Oryzias latipes: one gene and its partner. The protein of the gene in region 2 purifies or fractionates together with the protein of the main gene of each other region. This does not show direct contact. Links are inferred from orthologs where the notes say so. Each region holds a gene or a part of one and is shown on either strand. Other genes may lie near its edges.

The links.
Region 1: the proteins of xpo6 (region 2) and zmat2 purify together in Homo sapiens (co-immunoprecipitation; 3 studies listed by BioGRID and IntAct, with this or other methods). This does not show direct contact. The link is inferred for Oryzias latipes from reciprocal best matches to the Homo sapiens genes XPO6 and ZMAT2.

The regions. Positions count from the first base shown.
Region 1 is NC_019872.2:3,285,556-3,293,922, reverse strand, and holds zmat2 (zinc finger matrin-type protein 2), read left to right. Parts: upstream 1-3,065; 5' UTR 3,066-3,136; coding exon 3,137-3,154; intron 3,155-4,542; coding exon 4,543-4,642; intron 4,643-4,727; coding exon 4,728-4,851; intron 4,852-4,976; coding exon 4,977-5,050; intron 5,051-6,724; coding exon 6,725-6,870; intron 6,871-7,042; coding exon 7,043-7,186; 3' UTR 7,187-7,632; downstream 7,633-8,367. UniProt on the Homo sapiens protein: Involved in pre-mRNA splicing as a component of the spliceosome.
Region 2 is NC_019866.2:14,396,933-14,405,383, reverse strand, and holds the start of xpo6 (exportin-6), read right to left. Parts: upstream 4,526-8,451; 5' UTR 3,767-4,525; coding exon 3,764-3,766; intron 3,033-3,763; coding exon 2,942-3,032; intron 1,944-2,941; coding exon 1,831-1,943; intron 1,513-1,830; coding exon 1,315-1,512; intron 1-1,314. Other genes in the region: protein FAM173A, read right to left, coding at 6,546-6,728, 7,434-7,484, 8,041-8,181. UniProt on the Homo sapiens protein: Mediates the nuclear export of actin and profilin-actin complexes in somatic cells.

The DNA of each region.
Region 1 (8,367 bases), on a different chromosome or scaffold from region 2:
TTTGCTTTCAAATAAAATGACAGGCGTTATACAAATAAAGTTTGAATTTAAAGTTCCCAGATGTGTTCTCTCTCTGATCAAGTTTTAAGGCTTGCATTGTCACTGTGTAATTTCAAAAACTGTAGAATTTAAATGAGGTCAGTCTTCCCACACGTAACGGGCGCGGATCTGCCTGGTTGCAATTTAGTTCGGGTTGCGCATCCGTTTACCCAAAGTAATCTGCGTTGTGTTCTTGTTCTGCTGGACAAATGAAGAGAGTCTGGACCCAAACATCTGCTGAACGCTGCCCTTTTTATTGATGACTGCAGCAGGATCTGTACATATCAAACAAAAAATGAAGAAAAGTCGCTTACATGCAGTTCCCTGCTCAAACACATGGGGTCGCAGTATCCTGTTGAGCGGAAAACGAGAAACCTGTCCACACATGTCTTCTACCAAGTGTAACCCTTGTTACACTAACTTGAAATTAATTTATAAAGTATTGGAAAAATTGGCTCCAGATCCTCTGGCAGAGATGGATCACCAAAAAAAAAAAAAAAAACGATTCCAGGCCTCAGCAGCATGTCTGTGTTTCACCCACGAAAACAAACATCCAAATATTTGCAAAGATGGATGTGCAAATTGTGCATACAAAATAAACGCATTTAGCCGATCACCGCTAGCTCCACGGAGAGAGTGGAGTTTGTGCTAGTCTGGCTGGGGGAGGTGCTGGCAGCACAGACTCTTCCTGGAAGGGGCTGTTCCTCACTTTGTGACATCACAATGGGAGAACTCTCTTGTTTTTGTGGGTTTGGAGGGGCTGGTGCTCAGAGAGCAGGTTTTTAAAGGAACACCCAGAAACGGGTAAATGGATCCAAATATTCCTTTGGGGTTGTTCATTATGAATGATGAACGTTATAATACAATTATACCATCGTCCGGGTGAATACCCGATTCTGATTGGCTGCTGGGTGTGCGGTAAAAAGCGATGCAGTCGCCGCACCATGTAACAAATAGTCCGCTTTTTGTGATAAAAGCAATCCTCTTGCTTTATTTTGATAAGCGCTTCGCGTCGGATGGTTCAGGCTTCACGGCGTGTGTTAAAAAGTGCTAATGCACACTTCGTCGGCCATTAACCCTTAGTTAAAAGATCACAGAGTTGCTTTTGCATGATATAAGCCCTTTAAAAGTACACTTGGAAGTAGATTGTGCAGTCAGATTGAGAAGTCAAATTGTACTAATTCCACAGAGTGGTTGTGGAATCACTACGCACAGAGTGCACCTAGTGCGTTCACCATTTTGTAAAGCTGTTCAAATTTCAAAATCAAGTGGTTTAGAAATTATTTGCGAAAGATTAGTGTGTATTGATGCTCGCTACTAGATTGGCGTGTGTAGACCACAATGCAATTGAACAATTTTTGAGAGCAAAAATGTATTTTATTGTTTTGTATGAACACTCAATGATTTCATCATCAGAGCACAGTGGATTCATAAATAGTCTTCATGCATTGCTCATATTGATTAGATTTTAACTTTGGGAAATCAGTGATGTCATATTCGCAGTTTTAAAATAATGAAGTCAGCAAGGTGTCCTAATTGCTTTTAAAATCCGGGACATTGGATAGTCCCACACTTATAGTTTTATTAGTAGTTAGGGATTAGGGTGGGAATTCGGACATAGCCAGTGAATTGTCTGAACTCAATGAGTTATATCGCTAGAGGAGACACGCCCGCTTGGGAAGCCTGGCCGACGGTGGCGGAACGCAACGCCATCTTGGTGAGGTCAACGACGCCTACATGACAATGATTTCTTTAGCCTTTGGTAGCATCTAAGTAGCTTTTATATAATTTATATTTATTCAAATTTCTATATATTTATACATATAAATAAACACATGATAAATGTATATAATTTTTATATATATACATCATTTGATGCTTTTAAATAAGAGAAACAGTCAGCTTTAAAAGTTCAAACTTTAATGAAAAATGCATTGTTTTTAATTTTTAAACATTTCCAAGTTTTAGACCTCTTTGACATGTAATTGAAATTATTTAGAAAAGCCCAACAATAAGTCAATAATAATAATAAATAATAACAATATATAAATAATAAGTCAATAATAATAATAAATAACAAATATAAATAATAAGTCAATAATAATAATAATTAATAACAATATATAAATAAGTCAATAATAATAATAATAATAATAATAATAATAATAATAATAATAATAATAATAATAATAATAATAATGAATCAATAAATAATAATAATAATAAATCAATAGTAAGTCAATAATAATATTGAATGATAAAAATAAATCAATAATAGGTAAATAATAATAAATGATAATAATAAATCAATAATAAGTCAACAAAAAGTCCAAAAGTCAACAACAGATTTTCCCCTTTAAAAAAACAAAGAAAAGAAATAGATTTACCTCCTGATTCATGTTAGTGATAAATTTGTGTGACACAGTTGGTTTAGTGTCGGGTTTCAAGCTAACAGTCTGGCCAGTCTCATCAAAATCTGTTTCCTCAAATTGTTTTGAACATAGCCAGACTGTATTACTAGTTGGTACCACAGTGATCCATCTGGGTTAGCTCTTTTTATTGCTAAGGCCCACTTTTTCCTTAAGTCTGAATCCATTGGAAACCTGCAATAAAATTTCAGTCACTGAGTCAGAAATGTATAAATCTCTATTACTATAATAGCCTAGTATAATGTATACAGGTTTAACACAATAAAGTTTACATTTATATCGACAGCAAATTATACGTACATCATGCCTACATGTTGATAATCGCCCTGCAGCATCATGCATGAAAACATGTGTATGATTAATGATGCCCCTGCAGCATTAAAAGAAAAAAATATATAATACTTACCTGTGAAATGTTATGCCTTCCTCCTTCGTGGACTCATTTCTCTGATTTTGGCAGTTGAAACCCGAAAAATGAACTGGTATTTTGCAAGAAATGTGTTCACATGCATGCACTACAGCAGTAATTTGACCTCACCAAGATGGCGATGCTCTCCCCCCTTGAGGAATCACGTGATGTCTCCTCTACCGATAGAACTAAATTTAGACAGGAAACTAGCAATGACGAGCTGCAACATCCGGTGACGTATTTTCCGTAGGTAAACAAGATGGCGTCCGGCAGTGGGGTGAGTTTCCAAGCAGAATTTCTCTGCCCCTGTTTGTTGTAATACAGTTTAATTCAATAAACAAGATTAAAATTCTTCACTTTATATTTGGTACCGTGGAGGCGTTTTGACTGTAACCGTTACAGACATCAGCTGCTGCCGTTAGAAGCGCGGCCTCGGACTAGCAGCGGCTAACTCGCTCTGACGCTTGGGTACTTTATTTGCAGAATTTTACGGCCCTTTTTAAAAAAAAAAAAAATTAGTACCAAAAACGTTTTGACTCAACCGCCGTTAGTTTTTATCTTTAAAGGACTAATTCAAAGGTGTAACGAATTCCGGTGTGGCAAAATAAAAGCTCTTGAAGTTTATTTCGTAAAGCCGACTGTGATGATAATAAATGAAACTGTAATAATAAGGATAATGTCCTTTTTGGTTTTTGCAAATATGAAACAATGTTTCTGTTGCTATATTATAAAATTTATAAACCCACCCCTGTTGAAAATGTTTACTTTGATAATATGAATGAAAGGGAAGAGCTGTCGATCAATACAGACCATGAATTTCTGCTTTTTTTTTTTTTTTTTGGATGCTGGTGTGCCGCGGGATCTTTTTCAGGGTTAAAGTGTGCCGTGGCTCAAAAAAGGTTGAAAAACACTGGTCTAGAGTGACTTAGGGTTTCCTGTCCTGTAAGCACAGCTCCACCAGCAGGCGTATCCCCCTGGAGCCTGACGGCACCATGCATTTGGAGAGCTGATCAGTTTCAGGCTGCAGCTGCAGCCAGGATCAGGCTGTTGAACGGAGATTTCTGAAAAATCTAATGTTCATTATGAAGGATCTCTTTGGACTCATCTGTTTATCCAACATGGATGCTTCCCGTCAGCTGGATGTTCGGCCTGAGCCCTCCCCTTATCTCGGGTCACGGAGTAGGAACAGCCCTTTTCCCAAACACCATTAAATACGAGCAGCAGCATGGCTCACGCATAAATCATGGGTCACACGTTCCCCATGATTTGTGCGTTCATCCATACCTCTCTGAGCTTTTGGAATCTCGGTTAAGCTCATATCTTTCCCTGGAGGGACAGAGATCCAGGAGGAACCTCTGGGAAGAGCCAGCTCCTCCTGTTTGAGCTTGGAAGGTGCACAAGGCGTCAGCTCTGACAGTCCAACAGGCATCTTCACCGTCTGCATTTAAACATTCTTCTGACGAAGCATGAGGCTTTCCTGCTTTTGTTCCTTCTCTGTTGTTGTGTCTCTGTGGTTCTGTTTTAGAGTTTTATCAATGAAGTTGAGTTGAGAAGCTGTTGCTCTTTTGTCAGGAGGAGTAAAAGCTCCTCGTCTTCATCAGCTGAATGTTTGTTGAGATGTGAAGATAATCGAGGCGCTCTGAGTCATCTTCTCGTGTCTTCCAGTCCAGCAAGAACGACTTCCGGCGGAAATGGGACAAGGACGAGTACGAGAATCTCGCTCAGAAGCGGCTGAACGAGGAGCGCGAGCGGGAGCTCAGGGATGGTGAGGGCAGCGCTCTCCGTTCTTTGGGGACCCTTGGGGGTCAATCGCTTATCACCCCTGACGCATGACCTGTTGGCTCTTTCAGGAAAACCTGTCCCTCCCGTCAAGCGGGAGCTCCTGCGGCACAGAGACTACAAAGTGGATCTGGAGTCCAAACTGGGGAAAACTATTGTCATCACCAAGACCACCCCTCAGGCGGAGATGGGCGGGTGAGTTCCTGACGGCTTTGGGTTTGGAAAAATGGAAAACTGAAACTCTTTGAACCAATAAGAAAAAGTTGTGGAGCAGAAACGGACAGGTCTGGGTTCTGGTTCCGACATATTTTTTTTTTCAGATATTACTGCAATGTTTGTGACTGTGTGGTCAAAGACTCCATCAACTTTCTGGATCACATCAACGGCAAGAAACGTAAGTACACCTGTGCTTTAGGGAGGGGCCAAGAGCGCAGATGTAACGTGGATCATTTTATACAGTCAGGTCCATAAATAATGGGACAGCGACACAATTCCAACATGTTTGACTCTATATGCCACCAAAATGGATTTGAAATAAAACGAACAAGATGTGCTTTAACTGCAGACTGTCAGCTTTAATTTGTGGGTATTTCCATCCAGATCAGGTGAACTGTGTAGGAATTACAACAGTTTGCATCTGTGCCTCCCACTTGTTAAGGAACCAAAAGTAATGGTCAGAACAATAATCATAAATCAGACATTTACTTTTTAATACTTGGTTGCAAATCCTTTGCAGTCAATTCCAGCATGAAGTCTGGAACTCACAGACATCTCCAGACGCTGGGTTTCATCCCTGGTGATGCTCTGCCAGGCCTCCAATGCATCGGTCTTCAGTTCCTGCTTGTTGTTGGGGCATTTTACCTTCAGTTTTGTCTTCAGCAAGTGAAACATTGCATAACATTCCACTTCTTTCCCTTAAGAAGGCCTTTAGTTGCGGTTGCAGTTTGCTTTGGGTCATGGTCCATCTGCACTGTGAAGCGCCGTCCACTGAAGCATTTGGCTGATCATGAGCCCAAAAGCCTTCAGAATTCATCCTACTGCTTTTGTCAGCGTTCACATCATCAATAGATAGAAGAGAACAGTTCCATTAGCAGGCATACATGCCCACGCCATGACAATACCACCACCATGCTTCACTGATGAGGTGGTATGCTTAGGATCATGAGCAGTTCCTTTCCTTCTCCATACTCTGGTAGAGGTTGATCTTAGTCTCATCTGTCCATAGGACGTTTTTCCAGAGCTGTGAAGACTGTTTTAGATGTCGTTTGGCAAACTCTAATCTGGCCCTCCTGTTTTTGAGGCTCACTAATGGTTTACATCTTGTGGTAAACCCTCTGAACTCACTCTGGTGAAGTCTTCTCTTGATTGTCGACTTCTACACACATGCACACCTTACCTCCTGGAGAGTGTTCTTGATCTGGCCGACTGTTGTGAAGGGAGTTCTCTTCACCAGGAACACAATTCTTCGGTCATCCACCACACATGTTTTCTGTGGTCTTCCGGGCTGTTTGGCATGCTGAGCTCCCCAGTGCGTTCCTTCTTTTTAAGAATGTTCCAAACAGTCGTTGTGGCCACGCCTCATATTTTTACTATCTCTCTGATGGTTATTTTTGTTTTTTCAGCCTAATGACTGCTTCTTCACTGATAATAACAACTCTTTGGATCTCATCTTGAGAGTTGACGGCAACAGATTGCAAATGCATACAGCACACTTCAAAAGCTCTGGACCTTTTATCTGCTCTTTGTAGTTGGGATAGTGAGGGAATAACACACACCTGTCCCTGGAACAGCTGAGAAGCCGATTGGCCCATTGCTTTTGGTTCCTTAACAAGTGGGAGGCACAGATGCAAACTGTTGTAATTCCTACACAGTTCACCTGATCTGGATGGAAATACCCACAAATTAAAGCTGACAGTCTGCAGTTAAAGCACATCTTGTTAGTTTCATTTCAAATCCATTTTGGTGGCATATAGAGTCAAACATGTTGGAATTGTGTCGCTGTCCTGTTGTTTATGGACCTGACTGTATGTCCATGAATGTGTGTTGATAAATGTGTGTGTGTGTTCAGATCAGAGGAACCTGGGCATGTCCATGCGGGTGGAGCGCTCGTCTCTGGATCAGGTGAAGAAACGCTTTGAGGTGAACAGGAAGAAGATGGAGGAGAAGCAGAAGGAGTACGACTTTGAGGAGCGCATGAAGGAGCTGCGGGAAGAGGTGAGCGCCCCCTGCTGGTCAGCTCCCAGAGTCCTGTGAAATTTGGAAAAGGCTGCTCTGTTGATTCTTCTGCTTTTTCCAGCGCTCCTACTTTCATTCTTTTCTTTCAGTGTCTTCAGTGTTTTATAATCTGGTGAAGTCATGAATAAAAACTGGTTCCTGGTCTCCTCAGGAGGAGAAGGCGAAGGCCTACAGGAAAGAGAAGCAGAAAGAGAGGAAGCGGCGTGCTGAGGAGGACTTGGACCTGGAGGACGATGATGAGATGGCAGCAGTGATGGGCTTCTCGGGGTTTGGCTCGTCCAAGAAGAGCCACTGAAGCCCCAAACTGGGACAGGAAACCGTTTTCAGCCATGCCCCCCTCTCTAGGGCGGGGCTGCTGATGCGGGCTCCTCCCTCACAGACTTTTTTTATTTGAGATTGCTCTCAAACCTCTTCTGGTGAGCTGGTAAACACCATCACAAATATTAACAGATGAATGAATGATCTGAATGCAGGAAGACAAATGAAGGAGAAACTGTTTCCTTTAGCACGACTGTGGTGTGTTCAGGTGCACACAGAAAACTATACATTTTTGTTTCTTCATTCAAGTTTTTTCTCTGAATTAGATCCTGATCTTAGAAAAAGAAAGAACTGGAGGAAATGTTGGTTTAATTTTTAATAAATACACCTTTTTTTTTTATTCCTGATGTTTTCCTGAAATTGATGTAAAAATGTTCCACAAAGAAGCTGAGGCTTCAAACCGATAAAAGGTGCTCTTCTGTGTTCCTTTGTCATTTTGTTATGGCAAAAAGGGGAAAGTAATCTGAAATGAATTTAGGAATCACAATAAAACACTTCTCCTGGGTTCAGCCAAGCTTTCCACCTGAACACGATGAATCGGTGGCAGGTTGGCATGTGAAGAAAGATGTCTGTGGCGGCGTTCACTTCTTCTTTCTAATGTGGCTGAAACTGCGTTTGATCAACAGGAAGAAGAAGAGGAAGTCTGCTGCATTTCCTGTGTTTCACTCATTAATGACCAACAACGCCGCTACGTCTTATCGGTCCTCGTCACGGTGCGGCTTTTGAAAAAAGACTCAGACTATTTAGACATTAGTTCATAAGAATTCAAACCAAAGAGACTCCTTTTTTAAGCATGTGCAGCCAGTTCTGCTCCAAAAAGCAGGTTATGTGACAAACCTCCGTCTATTTGAAGGTAGTTTAGATCAATGACCGGTACCCGTCTGTGGAGCGCTTGGTACCTGGCCACAGAGGAAAAAACACAACCTGCTTTTTATCTGATTCTGATGGAAGTTTTGTCTTGGGAAACTACTGGTTTCTCCCCGCCACATCCGACAGCATCCGACTCATTCCTGAAATGTTAAGACGTTGAAAATCCATCCATTACTTACTCAAAGCGGCTGCACGGACCACTACATTGAAACCTCCAAACTAGCAAAGTTAACAAACGACTTTGAAAAGTTTCTTTTGCAGGAAAGATCCAGAGAGAAAACAGAAGAG
Region 2 (8,451 bases):
GAGGGGAAAAAAAGGCCTGGACTCAACCTTTAGCACACTCTTAACAAATTTCTAAACTTCATAAGAGAAAATGGTTTCAGAAGTGTTCCGATCACTAATAATAAGCTTCTGCTTTGGGGGTGTCCCTTTTTTTCACGTTGTGTATTGTGAGGAGATTTGTTATTTGTGACACATTGTGGAAATGTAAACTAAACTAAGCTAAAGTGTTGGATCAAACGAAATACATTTTTAAAGTCCTCAGGTTTGCTCATGACGTTCGACTTGTTTAGAATCTAGAACTGTTAGAAATCTTAGTGGGTGTTAAATCAGTGTAGCATTGAAATAAACGAACATTTTCAAAGGCAAAGTCGGTTTTTGTAAAACATTGTGTATTGAATTTCCTTAAAATACCCATTGATAGATCACCAAAACATACAAAACGACTCTAATGCATCGTCACACTGACCAAAAGAAAAATCAAAGATAGAAAACTTTAGAAAGAACACAATTTGTAAACTCACAAAGGGTCACTGAGGATAATTTCTAAGCCCTATATCCCCTTATCCTTGTTTTTTTTTACATTAGAGGCAGTGGTTTGAAAACCCACAGGTCTACAGCTATGTTCACACTGCCCGTTTTAAACGAAAAGTCTATGTAAATGCACATATATGCATGTTTGGGGCTTTCACGTTCAAAACTCTCTCGTTCAAACGTCACTACGCAAGTTTCTACACCTGTTTTCAGGCTCTATGTACAAAACATTCGTTGAAAGATGACCATTCGGGGACTCAGATTTGGAAGTGCAAACCGTTTGTAAATTGAACATGGAGGAGAAATTAATCATTCCGGTTTGTGCCCGGCTGGAATTATACGGCACAAAGTCTTTCTTATCGGAATAGAGCTGTGAAAGAAAAGCCTGCAGCAAGATTTACAAGATTTGCACAGCTTTGACATTTTGCTCCAAACCTCTTCCAATTGTAGGAGGTGGAATTGTTCTAGCAAATAGGAGAAGAAAAAGAAAAAAATTCCCTCCGTAGCATAAAACAACCACTTATTAGTACTTAAGTAATCCAGCAATAACCAACATATCATTTACCATTTTAATAAAGGTTTCCAGCCGTGGTCCTTTAGATCTACCACCCTGCTATTCCCGCTGCCGATGACCTGAATCAGGCGTGATCAGTCAGAGTTTAGAAACACCTAAGTTAGTTAATAAGCACCAAAAGCAAAAAGGAAATAGTCGATGTGGCAGATCTTAAGCACCAGGGCTGGGAAGATCTCATTGAAGCTTTCTGAAAACTTCTGAAAAGCAGAAAAGACATCAGCAGGGCTTACCTGAAGCGTGTTCGAAAAGAAATCATGGTAGAACATTGGCCAGTCCTGGCGACCAATGTCCACAATGACTTTGCACAGTTTGTTACGGATAAAATAGGGCACATTTTTGTGTTGGGCAAGCAGAAGTTTGGGCAGACAGCTGCGGATCTCCATCTTATCTTGAGAGGCTAAACCAATCCACATTTTGTTCACCAGATTCTAAAATAGAAACAAAAAACACGTTTTTAAACAGATCTGTATACAACAGTTACGTTTTTTTCAGTTCTTTGTTGTAATAATAATGTATTTATTAAAAAATGAGCAGTCAGTAGAAGGCAGAGTCTTTAAAACACATTTTTGTTGCATTTTCCACTGCAAACGTGGTTGCAATAATGGTTAAAGAACCAACTTGCTTAAGGAGAGAAAAAGAGGTAAAAGAAAGAGCGGAAACGCACACCAAACATCTAACACAGCACTTCCTGTGATCTCTGTGCATACAAGGACTTTGTTCTTAAACCTGCGATCCTCGAAACCTACCTCAAATACTGTGAGGCTGTACATCATTACATACTCATTTCGAGTACTGGAGAGAAAGAACAAGCAGTGGCGCCACGCTCCAGCCTGTTGTGCAAAGTTATTTAGCAACTCTTCTGCAGAAAAAAAGAAGGCAGATACGATCTTAGACAGACATGCACGACATGGTAGACTCAGCTGGAACAAAGTGAAAGCAGAGTATCACAACGCGGGAAGTGGACATAAAATGTTATTATTAAAAATATATAATGAACAAAAGATCACCAAAATGCACCAAATTAAGCATTCCTGTAAAAATGTGCGATATTCGAGCTTCAATATCTCCAAATTAAAGGGGAAATGAGTCACTTCACCCATTTAGCACCGACAATTATGACTGGAATATAAGGCTTTATTGAATAAAATTTACAATATGATGAAAAGGCAATATTCCAAGTGTGGCATTTTACCTTCATTTATCAAACACAGTGGGAAGAACTTGCAGGAAATGAGGAGGAAGTGACACAAAACTGGCCTCATATCTGAGAGAGGGCGTTTTATTTCAAATGTGCCGTGTTTATTCAAAATAAATAATCATAATTATACTTATTTTGGCTTTTTTCAATTGCATATCTGATTAATAACTGTAAAAAGATATGTCAGTACACTAAACGACTTTTTTTAAGTGCTGAATGTAAAAGCAGCAGCTACGTTTTAGTAAATACCATCACGATATGTGTGCAGCAAACAATCATCCTGATTCAGATTAATTTATGTTTTCTGCCTAAAACTCCTTTGCTGACCGTCTACTGTTTTTAGTATTCATGCAGCCTTGAGCACAACTTATCACAAATTCACATGGGCCGATCGCTCTGTAAGGAGAGAGCAGTGTTAGGTTGTGAACCGGCCCATAAGACTCTCACATGATCTTTTGGCCCACCTTTAATTTCAGCCTCAAAGCAATGTTTATCATAGACACTGACTGTGAGCTTATTTAGATGGCTGCCTATTTTTACATTTAAACGTCCTCTTAAGCATTTTAACAGAAAGAAAAAAAAAGAGAGAGAGAAAGCATTGAATCATGCTGTTGCTTCTGGTGTGTATAAATGGGATTTTATTTTAAAAGTGCACTTACCGATTTCTCTTTTCCGCTCATTAGTTGTGCAGCTGTGAAAGAACTCTGTCATCAGGTTCTCTAAAGCGCGCAGTGATCCTTCCTCCGAAGACTAATTGAGAATAAAAGAACATTTTGGAGTACAGGTTCAATGCTGCACATCAGTTGACAAAATTATACATGAAAAACAGATCACTACAATATAATGTAAGATCGGATAACTCTAATGCAAGCAAGCCTCGCTTTTTTTTTTTTTTTTTTTAAAGCATTTTGTGCACAACAATCTTCATTTTTTTAAATCATAAATACCCTCTTGGCTTTAGGAAGACATGCAGTGAGCTGGATTCTCAACATGTCCACACTTGCACATCTCATCTTCCATTGTTGCCACTGTGTAATTGATGTTTTTGGGAACTGTTTACCAAAACTACAGAGTAAAAGTTCAACAGTTTAAAGCTGCGATCAGGCTAATTATTTGTAGCATGTAGGAAATTGGGCCTAGTCTTGCCAAACTGAGACGTGGGCTTGTGAAGCGAAGGCAGATCCAAATTCCTTAAATAAGACACAACTTGCCAAGGCTCTCCACCACTCAAAGAGGTTTGGCTTTGTATGACACAGCACATTGGCCTGTGGCATTCCAGGCAAATACCTAGTCTTAAACCGTTATGACATGAAACATCAAGGTCCACATGGTATCACCAGAAGCTGCACCCAAATGTGCTTACTTTTATTAGGTTTTCAAGATCGAAATGTGAAAATCAAACCAGAAGTTGAGATCAAAGCAATCTGGAAGACAGAAATTAACGCAATAAAGCAGGTTTTTATTATATAAATTATACATACCATGATCAGTTGAATCAGACGCTTTCTTCGAGTTACGTAGGTGCTGATTAATTTCCTTTAAGCCAACATTAGGTACGCTGCAAGCCAATTTTGCAGCTAACGTTAGCTAATGTTTTCCTGGCTAACGAAACCGCAAAGTCTGTTCATACTGGTCTGCTACTGTGTTAGCCTCAGAAATGTTGAGTATCGTCGTTAATTTAAAATATCAATTTCCTTTTTATTAAAAAAAACGCTTCTTCACTTACCGGATAATAAAATAGACTAAACCATCAATCTCAATTTGATATGTTAGCAGAAACGTTGCCATTTATCGCCGAATTCATTAACAGCTACCTTCTAGTCTACATGGACGTGCAATTGTGAAAAATCAAACCAAAACAGACTCTTGCACCGGGTAAATTGTGCATCATTATTCAGCGTTCAGTGTCAGCCATTTCAAAGCTAAATTATCCAGTTGCTAGCGCCGCAGCGACTGTCTAGCTAACAAGCTAGCCTTTCTAGAAGGAACGTATACTTTCGTTAGCTAGGTGGCAACTGTAGGCATGACTGTCTGTGGCTGTTGGTCACGAGAATGCGTCTTCAGCGTTTTAAGTTAAAAGCGGGTACATATACACTGCCATGGTTAAAAGCTAAAAAGTACTATAGAAACGACAAATTATACTCCACGCGTTTGTTCCTGTTTTTCTTCTTTTCACAGCTTTAGGGCGGCTCAAGTCGGTGGCTAGCTGCAGGTTAGGGTCTGCTTCGCAACTTCCTCTTATGACATAATCCAACCCCCTGCTGGAACGTCACGTCATGTGCTGAAAAAAAAAAATAAATTAAAAAAAACTACACTTCTGAGCCAGTGTTGTTTAGAAATTAATATAATAATTGAATAGCTTTCTTTTAAAAAGCCAAATAAGATGTCAAAAGTATGGAAGTGATGAAAACAATTGACGGAAATGGCCTTAGCACGGGACCAGAGTAAACACTTCTCCTCTTTATAGTAAATTAAAAAATACATAACTTATTTATGCTACAATGACAATAATGATAATAATAATTATTATTATTTACGTGATTGGAAACGAATTAAGCAATTTTGACCTTTAAAAAAATATTGTCCATTCATGCACAGATCTAATATTTTGAAAGTCTAAAAAAGGAAGTGAATACTGTCAACAAGTATTCAATATCCATGGAGGTCTATTTATATCACGCAAGGAAAGCTGAATCAAAACAATAGCAAAGTACACTGTTATTAATACGTGAACCTTTATCATCTTTGAGAATATTTAAAAATATTAGCACACATGTAAAAAGTGAGGTAAAAAGACAGATATACCCATAAGAAAACCATGAAGCCTAAACTTCTCTTAACCCTTTTATGCAAAACACTGAATACTAAAGCCTGTTTAAATTAATTTAACGCAAAGTAATGCAAAGAATTTACAAATAAATTAGTTCAAAGAATTCTATCAGTAAATTCAAACAATAAAGACAAAAGTCTTTAAATAGCTTTCAGTTTTGTGTTAAAGATACTAAAAGCAGCTAAAACTCATGTTGATGCAGCTTGTTTCTTTGTTACTCTGCCTCACTGTGTTGTGTAAAAACACATCATTCTGCCTTCCTTATTTTACTGCAATGGCAAGAGGGGTAACCCATTTTACATCCTAGCTGCATACAGTCAGCCCCAAATTAACCCGAAACCTCATGATCTTTTTTGAGCATTGGTATGGTCATTAGGGACTGACAGATGTGCAAGGAGGCAACTGTTACAGTGGTAAAACAAATGCTGTGCAAACAAGTCAGCAATACCGCTGTCCCTCAGTTTTGTATGTTACTTCATACTTAGGCTGCTCTGGTTAACTACTAAAGCAGAATATTTCAACAAATGCAGGCATATCTTTTCCTATTCATCGTGACATGAGATCGGTTTAAAAAAACAGTTTTTACAAGAAGAAGAGACAAATGAGTACTGTCAGAATCAAATCCATTTTAATGAACAAACAAAACAAAACAAAAAACTAACATAGTGTCAGCTTAGACCAAAAACCAGAAGGCAACCCAGTTAGACCAGACATTTCGCAACAGTTTGAATCAATGTGAGGTTGGGTTGCTATGCAATGTTTTGAGTTGTAGACAGTTGGCTCTAAATGGCTTTAACTTAGTTTTTTTATTATCATAAATTCCTTTAATATATAAATCTAAATACAAATAACTCAGAACTACTTTACACATGTCCACCTTAAAAATAAAACCTCAAATAAATATAGTAAAGATTTTACGATTTAGCATTTTATAAACACAAATGTTGGCTACTTATATTTTATATAATCTTTTTAGCAATCCCTGAAATAATTTTTTAACTCTTTAACTGGCCGCTCAAACAAATGGTATGAGAAAACATTTTTAAAAACATCGATTGTGTGTATTTTCCCTAAGGCAATATAGGCAGCAGAAATTGTATTTTATTTGATCAATTTTGGGCATTTAAACAATTCCTAATTTAAAAAATAGTTTGCATTTTAAAATGATAGCCTTTCAAAACTATGATAAAAGGATACTTCATAGTTTAAAAATTTATTTGATCACCTTAACCAATGAGAACACAGACCCCTTTTTTCTTAAAAATAAAATGATGTGTATTTTACCACAAACCAAGTGGTCCTTTCTGATTTTTGTCAGTTTCACTGATGTCACCATATATGGGTTAAGGTGAAAGTTACTTCAATTCCAACTCCAGCCAGGTAAAGGTTGTGTATATATGTCACCCCTCAATGAATAACTCATTGTACTGTGTCTAAATATTGCTGACTTTTCCTAAAAGTCTTTGTTTTTGAGCTTGCATGTTGTATGCCCATGCTCTGTCAACTCCATGTCCTTCAATTCTGCAGGGTTCCCAGTCTGGGAAAGGGAAACGACCAGCTACCACCAAGGCGCCATCAGGAAGCTCTGCATGCAGCTTCTCCTGCAACAATGAAAGCTAGAAAGCAGAAAATCACAAAACAATAAGCCCTTAAGATGCATAAGAATGAATGAAGTTACCAAAAAAACAACACTAATAATAACTGACATAGTTTCACAATGAAATATAAACATCTTCTAATTAGTCACACATAAATGATAACAGATGGCCAACATTCAATCCTACATCACCTGTATCATTTACAAATCATTTGTTAACTGTTAAATTGAAACTATAAGCAATATTTTTCTGTATAAGCCAGAAAAAATGCAACACGTCATTCCAGTTTTTAATGACGGCCAAAAAAGAAAGTACTATATCCTCTGTCTGTTTTAAAGATTTACATATTTAGGCATAAAATACTGCTATGTCCCAAACTCACCTTTTAATTAAAGCAACATGGCGAAATACGTAACCAGAACTAAAATTTAAAGAATAAATAAAATGAAACAATGCTCAATAATAATAAGGATCATTTTATTTTCTTGGCTCAGAAAAAGCAGGCTGCCGTGCACACAAGAACCCCCCCCCCCAAATAAAACATTATAAAAAAGAAAAGGGGTTATGCGAAGATATATAACCCGTTATTGTAAAAATAAACACCTGTCCAACACAAAAGGCCTTCAGCTCTCATCTGTTTGCTCAGTTTTTGGACAGAACAAGTAAAGAAAAAAGGGAGGATATAGAACATTTTTATGATTTCACAGTTTTTATGAAACTCACCACACTTGGAGCCAAAAAAACTGTAATATTCTTGCATTTTGTCAAGTCCACCTGTAAGTAAATACAAATCAGGGTATAAATACACCAGAATTGTTACAATTTATTAGCTGTGTGTAACAGACTAGTGAAGGAACTCTAATGCAAATATACTCATTAAAAAACGAATTTCTTTTCATTTAATCTTTGCATATTTTTGTTTTTGAACTTTACCATTTTTATTACATGTTTAGTGTCATATTTTGTTTGCTTTCCACTATTTTCTCTTACAGACTGACTGACCTGGTTGTCTGCATGACGTGTGGTCACTATAAATACAGATGACCAGAAAATTAAGAATTAAAATGAAAAGACATTTGAAGTCGTTTACAAATACAAACAAATTGGTCTATATCAGCCAAACCTGGCCAAATTACTTCTCTAAAGACGGTTTAGATCAGGAGCTTACAATATAACAACCAATATTTTGTTTTGTTTCTCCTTTTCCCAGTGAATAAGGCATATTTTGGAACCCAGATATCAGGAGTTCACATTATTAATTGCTTATAATGTATAGGAAGTCTTAGATTCTGATGTAATTATGAAAAATAAATCTAAAAAAAGGTCAAACCTTCCAAAGATCTTCTCGCAAGTAAGCTACTTTTCCATGATAACCCAATCTCCAAGCATGAATACGGGCTAAAGAAATGAGCCAGGGGTTGAGCTCATAACCAACAGCTGGGTTGAACCCATGCCTATGAGCTTCTAGGACCTAAAAGGGTTACAGTGGTAATCAGTACAGGATATGAATATGTATCAACATCATCATTCTTGATCTAAGTGCAGCTTTTGACATGGGCTTCCACACTTTTCCCTTTTAGTTTATCTAGCTCAAAATCTTCAGGTTTCTGGCTTCTCCCTTTGTTTCAGGCGTTCTCCAAGGCTCTGTATTGGAGCATCTTCTTTTTTTGTCAACTATCCCATTCTAACTGGCACCAGCTCAGGTGATTTCAAAATTAATTTAGAATTTTTTTGTGAAAAA